Linked DNA regions of Oryctolagus cuniculus. The protein of the gene in region 1 purifies or fractionates together with the protein of each later gene. This does not show direct contact. Links are inferred from orthologs where the notes say so. Each region holds a gene or a part of one and is shown in the gene's direction. Other genes may lie near its edges.

Region 1 (2,888 bases):
CCCTAGGAGATTTGTGACACAGACCCAAGAGAAAAGAGCTTAGGAGGTGGGCTGTATGGAATTATTTTAGCCAGTGCTTCCCTGGTTTCCTGGGAGAGCTTCAATTTGCTTTGTCCACAAGTAGAAACAGGATTGGGAGAGGAGACTCAGTCCTTGTACTTGTGAACTTTAATCCTGTGAGTGTGAGGTGGAATGAAATACTTAACAACATTATGTTATGGATATTCCCACTGTAAACTTCATAAATAGCTGGAAATTGGGCACATATCACAGAAAGAGGAATGCCATGGTTCCTAGAATTATTTAGGCAGAGACTGTGGAATGACCCAGTTGGGCCAACATTTATTGAGCACCTGCTTTGTGCCAAGGTTTGGGAGCATGCAGATGGGTAACACAGTTCCTGCCTTCAAGGAGCTTGAAATCAAATAGAAAAAGACAAGCACTTAGTGACAATTTCAGTAACAGAGAGAGTTCTCTGATAATAGAAAAAGGGAATAAGGACACAGAAGAAAGCGAATTTTAGCCCAAATTGAGGGGCTGAAGAGTCATTACTTTAGGTAAGAAATGGACAGATAATCCCTGAAATCTTTCCAGACTTTAGAATTTTGGCTTAGGTTTGGCTTTTCCAAATGAAAAAACCTAAAGCCTAGCAGTTTTGATGCTAATACTTAAGATAATAAAATCTTTGCTTCTAAGAGTTACACGGACTTGATAATTTCTCGTCATGATCGACTAGGTACGTGTATCACTGTCCCAGTTGTGTGGATGCTAAGATTGAGGCAGGCCATTCAACAAAAGCATTGATGGAGCTCAGTGATGGATTGAGTTCAGATTCCTCAGCCAGCTCTGTATAGGCTATGTCACTGGGTGAAAATTTGTTAATGAGTCCGCAGTTTCACCTTGCAAGCCTAGTTTTTCCAATGCATGAGTACTGCTGGCTGAAAGCTCCTCTCTGGTTTATTTTAGGCAAGTCCAACTCAAGGTCCAACCCTTTGGAATGGGAAGACACCTATGGAATTGCCCTGGTTTCCGGACTGAAGTATAAGAAGGGCAACCTTGTGATCAATGACACTGGGCTGTACTTTGTGTATTCTAAAGTGTACTTCCGTGGCCAGTCCTGCAGCAACCAGCCACTGACCCACAAAGTCTACATGAAAAACTCTAAGTATCACCAGGATCTGATGCTGATGGAAGAGAAGATGATGAACTACTGTACTACTGGCCAGATGTGGGCCCGGAGCAGCTACCTGGGGGCAGTGTTTAATCTCACCAGTGCCGACCATGTATATGTCAATGTCTCTGAGATATCACTGGTCAATTTTGAGGAATCAAAGACATTCTTTGGTTTATATAAGCTCTGATAAAAAAAAAAGTACTTTGGGATGCCATTACAATTCCTGTTACAGGCACCGAGAATGTTGTCTTGACTGAGGGTCTTCTTAGGTCCCTCTTGAGGTCAAGCCATGAACCATGAGGACCTGGAGACCACAGGGTCCAGCAGGTCTGCAGTTCCAAGTCTCACCCAAGGTCCATGGGCCAGGCAGGAGGAGGAAGATGACTGAAGAACATAGAACTCCTGGCTGTCATGTGAAGATCAAAAGCATTGAAAGGTCACTACCAGGCATTCTACATTCATGTTAAGTGGCCAAGAGAATTTCAGCACATTTTAAAAGATACCTTTTACCTCACCTCTTGAGGTGGGTCTACTTGCTACCTCAGCAGAGGATGCATTTCACGTATTTGGTTGTTACATGAGTGTGCAAGGGATGGAAAAGGACTTGCAAGATAAGCTAAAGAGACTGAACGAGTCTGATGCCTGCTTGGCAGCATCTTTACTTCGAAATTAGTAGCATGAGCTGCCAAGTGATGCTAACAGACAAGCAAGAGGGGTCTTTTGGGGACTCAGCTCATTCCCTACACTGCATGTGTATTTCCAGTGCAATGGTAGGGGTGTGTGTGTGTGTGTGTTTGTGTGTGTGTGTGTGTGTCTATGTGGGAGAGCAAGAGGGAGAGGAAGAGAGGAGTCACATATGTATGGAGTGTGAAAATTATGAAGTGCATTTTTGGAAAATACGGGTTGCATTTGGTGGTAGATGTGGAATGCTTCTTGGCAACCAACTCTAATAGTCCTCAAAAATCTCTGATGGTCAGCTGCTGCTGATGTTTTTCTTTATAAGCAATATTTATATCCATTCTGTATATTTTAATGAAATATTACATGGAGTAAACCTACTTTAGAATATAGATAAATATGAATACAGTTTTTGGAAATCACTAAAATTCAGTTTGTTGCTTATTATTTCTTTCCTCCATGATTTCTTCATTCTTCAGGACTTAGAACACTTGGAGAAGAATTTACTGGGGTGAGAACTGTGAGGCATCTTTCCATTTGGTCAGGTCTTCCTTTTCTCTCTACGTTCTCTTTCCTCTCCACTCATTATTATTCAGAGTTTCCTTTACCACTGTTAATGTCAGTGGTGAGCTTACCCAATTTTCCACAGATTTGATGGCACTTGCCTTATTCTGGGGCTGTGACATAGGGCAAGGGGCACAGATTTTGGGCTAAAGAACCTGGATTTGAATCTTTGCTCTTCCACTTTCTATGTTCCCTATGGACCTTCCTTGGACAAAAAAAAAAAAAGGCTGATGCATCCAGAGAGTATCTGAAACATAGTAAGACATAAAAATGGCATTTCTAATAAGCCAGTTCATCAGAGATACTGTATTCTCTAGAAGAAGTCACTGATCTATGGGATCCATCCAAACACTTGGTTTCTTACCTTCCCACACTTGTTGCTTGCAATGACTTTTCCTATTTTTAAAAAAAGATTTATTTATTGGGGCCAGCGCTGTGGCACAGCAGGCTAAAGCACCAGCCTGAAGTGCTG
Region 2 (3,389 bases), on another chromosome or scaffold:
CTTAGTCTCAGTGGCAGAAAGCGCCTTGCCTTCCTCCGAGGCCTCCTGGTGTCGCTCTGCCCTCCCTGTGCCCCCCCAGCCCGAGCCCCCTGCTGGTCCGTGGACACCCCAGAGTGGTGCCTGGTCTGTTCCTACCCCTCGGGCCTTAGTCTTGGCGGCAGAAAGCGCCTTGCCTTCCTCCGAGGCCTCCTGGGTGTCGCTCTGCCCTCCCTGTGCCCGCCTTGCCCGGGAAGGTGGGGTCCGGGCTCGCATTCCGGGTCCTGCTCTGGCCTACCTTCCTCGTTGCCCGTCTCACCCCTGGGGACCTTCCTGAGCCCCCGTGTTCTCCTGGAAGACCCCGCAGAGCCCCCTGCAGAGAGGTGGCATCCACCCCGGACTGGCCTGTGGGCCAGGCACCCCGTGGGCCAGGAAGGGGGTTGGGAGCCCTTAGGCAAGTACTGCCCCATCCAGGCCTCAGTTTTTCCTCACAGTAGTGGGGTGAAGGGTGGCTCTCGCTGGGCCCCCTCCTGGCCCTTGGTGGAGAGTCCCCTTCTGCCCAGGGCTGAACCGTGGGGGTGCCGAGTGGGCTGGGAGTTGGGGGCTGCAGGTTTTCTTTGGGGTGTTGTATAGGCAGCCCTGGGGAAAGGCCACTGTTGGCCAGCGAGCCACACACTGCCCCACCATGTGGGTGCCGCTCCTTTTAAAGGCGTGCAGATGCAGAGCCCTGGGCCTGGGCCGCTGTAGCTCCTCCCTCAGAGCGCTCTGCAGTGTCATTCAACTGGAGTGAGGGTAGCACAACCATCTGGGAGAGGCAGGCAGGGGGGAGCCGGCTGGGGGTGCCGCCTCCCTCCCTAGCCCTCCCCACCTCCTTGCAAGGCAGAGTCCCAGAGCGCCCCCCCTCCCCGAGGAGGCGGTGCCCGGCACAGGTCAGGTGCCCCCACCACCAAAGCGCCTGTGGCTCGGAGCTGCCAGGCTGCGCAGCGATCCAGATGCTTCCGCAGTGGCTCTCCTGTGCAGGTTCATCCCGCTGCCCATCTGTCACTTGCTCCTCTGGTCCCCTGGGGGCTGGGTGGGAGACACGGCAGGTGGCCTTGGCAGTGGGTGTGGTGGGGGCGGGGTGGGAGCCCGGGGAGGGCAGATGGGGGAGGGGGCACCGGGCGCTCTGGTGTAGAAGCGGCACCTGATCCGGGCCTTGAATTATGAATAGGGGCTCTGAGGGCAGAGGCCCGAAGGCAGGACAGGACAGGCTGAGCTGGTGAGCTGGGGGCCCGTGAGGAGCCTGTGCAGGGGCTTCCTGGGCCAGGTGCCAGGGAAGGTGCCACCTCGAGGGACCTCTTTCAGGTGCTGCCCAGAGTGGGACGGAGGGCCAGGGACTGGGAGGGACGGGGCCCGAGTCAGAGCCACAGACGCCTCACCATCCGCCAGGGCCCAGGCCTCGCTCTGGGCGGCACCAGGGCCCTGGAAGGATGTGGACAGAGGCAGGTGGTCAGGGAAACCGCAGGATGGCCAGAGCTGTGGTGGCACAGAGCCCAGGGAACCTGGCAGCGACCTCCCACCGGGGTGCAGGGAAGCCTTCCTGGACGAGGTGGCATCGGAGCTGAATGAGCAGCCAGCACGAGCGGTGCAGGACAGGAGCCCCCTGGTCCTGGAGGTAGATACAGGTAGCAGGGGGCTGCGGCGGCCGGGTCAGGACGTGCGGCGGAGCTGGGGGCGGGGTTCCGGGAGGGGGCGGGGCGCCCTCACGCCTGTCCCCTCCCCCCAGGCGCCTTCGCCAAGGTGAAGGAAAGCCAGCGCATGAGCGACGAGGGCCGCATGGCGCAGGACGAGGCGGACGGCATCCGCCGGCGCTGCCGCGTGGTGGGCTTCGCCCTGCAGGCCGAGATGAACCACTTCCACCAGCGCCGCGAGCTGGACTTCAAGCACATGATGCAGAGCTACCTGCGCCAGCAGATCCTCTTCTACCAGCGCGTGGCCCAGCAGCTGGAGAAGACGCTGCGCATGTACGACAGCCTCTGACGCGCCGCGGGGCCGGGCCGGGCGGGGGCGGGGCTGGAGGCGCGGGGCTGACCCCTCCAGGTCGCTGGAGGCCCAGCCTGGCCTCAGCCTCCCCCGGGGCCTGTCAGAGGCCTGCCCCGGGCGGGGTGGGGGGCGCCTCCGAGCGAGGGTCAGAGAGGAAGGCAGTGCCTATGACGCCGGCCGTGCCGCAGAGGGGTGCCGTTCCAGCGGTGGGCAGGACCGTGGGGAGCACCGAGAGGAGCCCGGCCAGCTGGGCCGGTGGATACGGCTGTCTCCTGTCCCTCTCGCTCTCGCAGGCACATCTGTGCCCGCTGCACGGCGATGCTGGCCCGCGCAGCCGAGGGAGGGGACCCCCGTCGCTCCCGTGTCCCTGGCGGGTTCCTGGAGCAGCGGCTGCAGGCCAAGCCCCTCCCACCGCGGACCCTGCCGTACCCCGCTCCGGTGCGGGGACACCCCATGGACCACAGGGGGTCCTGGTGGGCGCCTTCCTGACGGCGACCCGCATAGGTCCTGGCTACCTAAGTTGACCAGCAAGAACTCCCCACATTCCACACAGGCCCTGGGGTCTGCTCAGTCCTGCCCAATGCACAGAGGGGAGCCCCAGGGGAGTAAACTGGCCCCACCCCCACCCCGGGGCCCAGGCCCATCTGCCCTCGGCCAGCTTCACTGTGATGCACGCTCCTGCTCCCGGTCAGGTTGTGCCTGCCACCTATGTTTACATCCTCCGGGGTCGCTGCCTCCCCACGCTGCACCCAGGGTGTGGCCTGGCGGTGTTGGGGGCAGCTGACCTGTGCCACCGCGGCCCCCAGGACGTCATGAACTGCTCCTGGCTGCTGCTGCTTTTCTGTCTTTCTTCTCGATAAACCTTTCATGATTCGGACCACGGAACCGCGGCCTTTTCTGAGCCAATCCGGGAGGGTTGAGAGCCTGGGGGAGGGGCCGTGGGCCAGACTTAGGGGCCTCGGTGGGCGCAGGTCTTGCCAGGTGCTCCCAAAGGCAAGCTGGCTGGGGGGAGTGGGAGGTGGCCACGGGCCCCTGCTGGATGCCCTCCCTCCCGAGGCCTCCCTCTCCTCATCTCTGAAATGGGTGGCGCCCTGCCCCGGGGCCTGACTGTGCCCCTGCCCCATGCCCCTGAGGTGGGCTGGGGAAGGAGTAGGAGGCTGGGCCCCAGGATGGTCTGGGGAGCAGGAGCCTCCTCTTCCCCAGGGAGCCAGATCCCAGCCTCACCCCTGCAAAGCTCGGGTCTGGGCAGAAGGACGGAGAGACGCAGAAGCTGGGTCCTGCCTGGGCGGTCCCAGGGTCCAGGCCTGCAGGGGCTCCCAGGTTAGAGCTAACCAGGAGCTGATGTGTCCCTGGAGAGGCAGGCGTGCTGGGGGAGGGGCAGCCTGGGCTCC
Region 3 (4,388 bases), on another chromosome or scaffold:
TTCTTATGGACTGCCTAGGATTTGGTTTGTATGATGCGCCTTATTTATTGACATAGTCCTATGAGCAAACACAGTTTGCTTTCCGTTTGGGGTTATTACAGAACAATGCTTGTTGATGAATATCTTTTTTACTTGTAACAATCAGAATTCCCAGCTGTGTTATGTCATTTTCAAATTTCAATGTTTGGGGGGGCGGTGCTGTGGCATAACGGGTAGACCCGGCTGTTCCACTTCTGATCCGGCTCTCTGCTGTGGCCTGGGAAAGCAGTAGAAGATGGCCCAAGTGCTTGGGCCCCTGCACCCACGTGGGAGACCCAGAGGAAGCTCCTGGCTCCTGGCTTTGGATCGGCACAGCTGCGGGCCGTTGCAGCCATTTGGAGAGTGAACCTGCAGATGGAAGACCTCTCTCTCTCTGGCTCTCTCCCTCTATTTCTCTGTTAACTCTGCCTTTCAAATAATAAATAAATCTTTAAAAAACCACACCTTTTTATGAAAATTATGACTAGGGCTTCGACAGTGAGCTCAACGAAGAGACTGACAGCCCATTCTGTAGCACAGGTACACACCATGACTGACCGCGGCTAAGTGAAGTCTCCCGAGGTCGAACACAGCAGTTAGGAGCAGACACAAATTTCACATTACCTCGAGATTCTATTCCCCTAGCCTAATAACGCTGATCTGATGGTTCTTTTTCAACAAACACATCCCTGATAACAAAACCAAAATACAATCTTCTCCCAATAAAGGTATACGCCCCAGGCTTGTCTTGTTCTTGAGTCAAAAATCTTGCTCCACCTAAGTCGTTTGTTTATGAACAAAACCCGCAGACCCAACTCTGGAGAAAAGAGGGAAAATTTTCAGCGCTCTCATCTCCATTTCACCAACCCTCTGGGGTCCTGGGGCTTTTTTAAACTTCGCGAGAAGGAGGCTAATGGGACGGATCGGGAGTAAGTGCCCCGGCCTCCCGGCCCGGCCGGGACCGCCGCCTGAGGGAAGCCGGGCGGGCGCTGGAAGCCATTGCTCAGCTCCTCGCCTCGCCGCGCGCGTGTGCGTGTGCGTGTGTGTGGCACCCCTGGGCCTCGGCCCTGAGCACAAGCGACCCCACAGTGGCGCAGAGACCCCGGGCGGGCGACTCCGGTCCTGCCGGGGCGCGTCGAGAGTTCTTGTGGCCGCCCTCCCGCCTCACGCACGGGGAAGCCGCGGGGCCGGCGTGTGTGCAGGGGCCGGGGCTCGGCTCCCTCGGCGGGGCGCTCCCCAGTGCGGCCCCTGTCTCTACCACACGCGGGGCGGCCATGGGGGTGCCGCTGGGGGCCGCGACCCGGGCTCTGCACCCGACCCCAGCCTCGAACAGAAGGCGGCGGCGGCGGCCGCCCGGGGCGGGGGCTCGGCGCGGGGGCGGCCAGTGCGCCTAGAGGCCGGGCCGCGGCCGCGGGCCCCGGGCGCGCTTCCGCCGGCCGCGCCGCGCACGCCGCGGTCCATGGGAGGCTTGGCCGGCAGGGGCGGGGGCCGCGCAGCCGGGGACTTTCAGGAACTGCAGGAGCGGGCGGCGGCGGGAGTCGCCCAGCGCCAGCGGCGGGGCCTGAGCGCGAGAGCAGGGCTGAGGCGGAGCCGCCGCCGCCGCCGCCGCCGCCGCCGCCGCCGCGCCGGGGCCCAGCCGTAGCCGCCGCCCTCGCCTGCCCGACTTCGGGCCGACCAGCCGCGGCGCGGGAAACGAGCCGGCCGTCCCGGGCCGGGGGAGCCGCCCGCCATGGCCACCAAGGTGAGGGGCGCGCGGCCCAGGCCCCGCCGGCCGCTCGGCGCCGGGAGGGTCCGTCCCGGGGGCGCCGCGAAGGCCGACGGCGGCCTCCAGCGCTCGCCGTGGGGTCCCCCGGCCGGCCCGCGGCCCAGCCAGCACCCTGTGGCCGTGGGTGCCGGAGGGCCGGGAGCACGGGCGGCCGGGCTGGTGGGGAGCGCGGGCGTCGGGGACTGACTCGGGCCTGGGGCGGGTCGAGACCCCGGGTGGGTGCGGGACCCCGGGCTGCGGGCGGTTTGCAAAGTTAGCACCTGAGCGGGGGCTGCAGGCGGGCGCGCCGGGGACCTAAAGTTCCCGCAGCCCCGGAGGTCCCGGGAGGCCGCTCGGTCCGCAGGCGACCGGCGCTGCGTGGTGTCCGGCGGCTCCTCCACCTCCCTCCCTCGGCCGGACGGTGGCCCCTGGACGCCCGGGGCGGTGTGGGGACCCGAACCCCAGCCCGGCAGGACGCGGCGCTTTAAATCCCGGGAGGGGAGCCCCGGCGCTCCCGCCGCCTTCACTTCGGAGTGTTTTTCGTCGGGTTTGCTGCTTTTTTCATGTTGAATGGTGTTGCCAGTCTGAGTAAAACAGCAAGAGGGAAATGAGTACGCTTTCGATTACGTGTTTGCTTGAAAAAAAAAAAAAAAAAAAAAGGCCCAGGCCCGAGTTACGTGATGGAACTTTGACTCCTGCCTGGTGATGAGCCAGGAGTGGTGGTTTGCTGCTTCTACGGTCTGGTTTGTGAGATTAGCAGGCACCCTTTGCCACCTGAGTCTGCAAAAGCCGAGACCCCCCTCCCCGCTTTCCTGGGCGCATTCGGGAGTTCGTTGGTGTGGACACTTGATGTGGTCACGGGGAGAGCCAGGGGCGCAGCCAGAGGACGGGGCAGGGGCTTCCACCCCGAGCTGGTGTGGGCAGTGGGTTTCCTTCCGCGTGGATTTTGTAATGGCACTTCGTTAAACAGCACCCTTTTCCACATGTATTTTTTGAGCCTCCCAAAGCCCCTTTTGGGTGGGTGAACACCTTCCATTTTTGTTATTGGTGGTGTTGGTTTTTAAGTAAGAGGGATAATTCCAGGAAGTGATAGGGAGTTTGAAATCGCTTTGAAAGATCAGAATTGTCTGATCGCCTTTCCAACCTGTTGATGAACGTGTCCAGAATCCATCCAGGGCTGTCCTTGCCGGAAATCATTGCCTTCTTGTCAATATGTGATTGACTATGCTGGCTTCATTAGACGTGATAGAACTTGCCACCTTTTTGACATGTACTGATTTTGTGTTGACCTTCTTAAAATAAAATTTAAGTCCAGAACTAAGGAAATGTGATTCTGAAGTTTGTTGCCAAGCATTTCAGAAATTACCAGTGACACGTCCTGTTACACACTCACTGTCTTGCCAATTTCAAAGCAGCCTGTGACTGGCACAGCTTAGGGACTAATGCAGGTACACGCGATGAAAATTTTCTTTGGTAACTAGGCCTGAACTTGATTTTTTTTTTCATAAAATTGGAAAGGACAGTGTTTTTTATTATTATTTTAAAGATTGATTATATATATGAAAGGCAGAGCTACAGAAAGGCAGAGAGAAAGATGTTCCACCCACTGGTTCACTCTGGCCACAGCTGAGCTGATCCAAAGCCAAGAGCTTCTTTCGGGTCCCCCACGTGGGTGCAGGGGCTCAGGGACTTGGGCCATCTGCTGCTGCTTCCCTAGGCCACAGCAGAGAGTTGGATTGGAAATGGAGCAGCTGGGACCCGAACCGACGTCCACATGGGATGCTGGTGCTGCAGTCTGGGGCTTTGGCCCACTGCGCCACGGCGCCGGCCCCAGGCCAGTGGTTCTTGTGCTTGGCTCACTCAACACAAGCCCTAGGATGTGTAAGCGCCTTCTGCTTTGTTATCTGCCCTACTCTGAAGGCGAATTCCGGTCTTTCTGGCATTCAGTTTTCTAAGCCCGGTTCCACAAGGCCCCCATTTCCATGTTTACATTGGGACAGACTTGCCATTTTAAGAGAAAGAAGAGCAAGGCAGCCCTCAGGAAAGAGGCCCCTTCCTTAGTTTCTGGTTTTCCTAATTCCTGGTGGTTCTCGGGTCCAGCCAGAGCCTCATTCTTCATTGTCCACAGAAGCAGATTGTCCCTGTTGTGTCCACGATACAAATCCCCCACCCTTCCCACTTCCCCTTCTCTACTGGGTAGGTGGGGAGCGTGTACTCAGTATGCAGTAAACACTAACCTCTGATGAAGTCTTAGATGCCAGCGACCTGCATGCTGTCACTATGCAATGATGAGAATGAACTCAGTGTTTGAGTACCTGGTGGTGTTGCGTTTCCTTTTGAACTTACCAGAGAAGGGCTCTAGTTCTCTTCAGAGAAACTTTTTGTATGTATTGTTCTTACATGTTTCTTTGAAGGTGCAGTTTTTCTGGACTATCTTGATTTTTAAAAATTCCATTGGTATAAACACAATAGAAGAAAAATAGAAGTCATCTTTTAGGAGGACTTCCATTGGGCTGAAGAGAGTTAATCAGTACCTGCACACTTTAAAGGGATTATTGGGATTTTTTCGAATCTCTACCAGCAGAATGCTGAATTTACCATTTTGAGTCCAGTCATATCTCATTTA

What was found.
Region 2: the proteins of FASLG (region 1) and SNX33 purify together in Homo sapiens (co-immunoprecipitation; 3 studies listed by BioGRID and IntAct, counting the BioPlex papers as one, with this or other methods). This does not show direct contact. The link is inferred for Oryctolagus cuniculus from reciprocal best matches to the Homo sapiens genes FASLG and SNX33.
Region 3: the proteins of FASLG (region 1) and SNX9 purify together in Homo sapiens (co-immunoprecipitation; 3 studies listed by BioGRID and IntAct, with this or other methods). This does not show direct contact. The link is inferred for Oryctolagus cuniculus from reciprocal best matches to the Homo sapiens genes FASLG and SNX9.

What each region holds. Positions count from the first base shown.
Region 1 is NC_091438.1:1,347,410-1,350,297, forward strand, and holds the end of FASLG (tumor necrosis factor ligand superfamily member 6), read left to right. Parts: intron 1-966; coding exon 967-1,361; 3' UTR 1,362-2,280; downstream 2,281-2,888. UniProt on the Homo sapiens protein: Cytokine that binds to TNFRSF6/FAS, a receptor that transduces the apoptotic signal into cells. Involved in cytotoxic T-cell-mediated apoptosis, natural killer cell-mediated apoptosis and in T-cell development.
Region 2 is NC_091443.1:108,355,214-108,358,602, reverse strand, and holds the end of SNX33 (sorting nexin-33), read left to right. Parts: intron 1-1,741; coding exon 1,742-1,995; 3' UTR 1,996-2,883; downstream 2,884-3,389. UniProt on the Homo sapiens protein: Plays a role in the reorganization of the cytoskeleton, endocytosis and cellular vesicle trafficking via its interactions with membranes, WASL, DNM1 and DNM2. Acts both during interphase and at the end of mitotic cell divisions.
Region 3 is NC_091436.1:9,859,954-9,864,341, reverse strand, and holds the start of SNX9 (sorting nexin-9), read left to right. Parts: upstream 1-1,554; 5' UTR 1,555-1,747; coding exon 1,748-1,759; intron 1,760-4,388. UniProt on the Homo sapiens protein: Involved in endocytosis and intracellular vesicle trafficking, both during interphase and at the end of mitosis. Required for efficient progress through mitosis and cytokinesis. Required for normal formation of the cleavage furrow at the end of mitosis.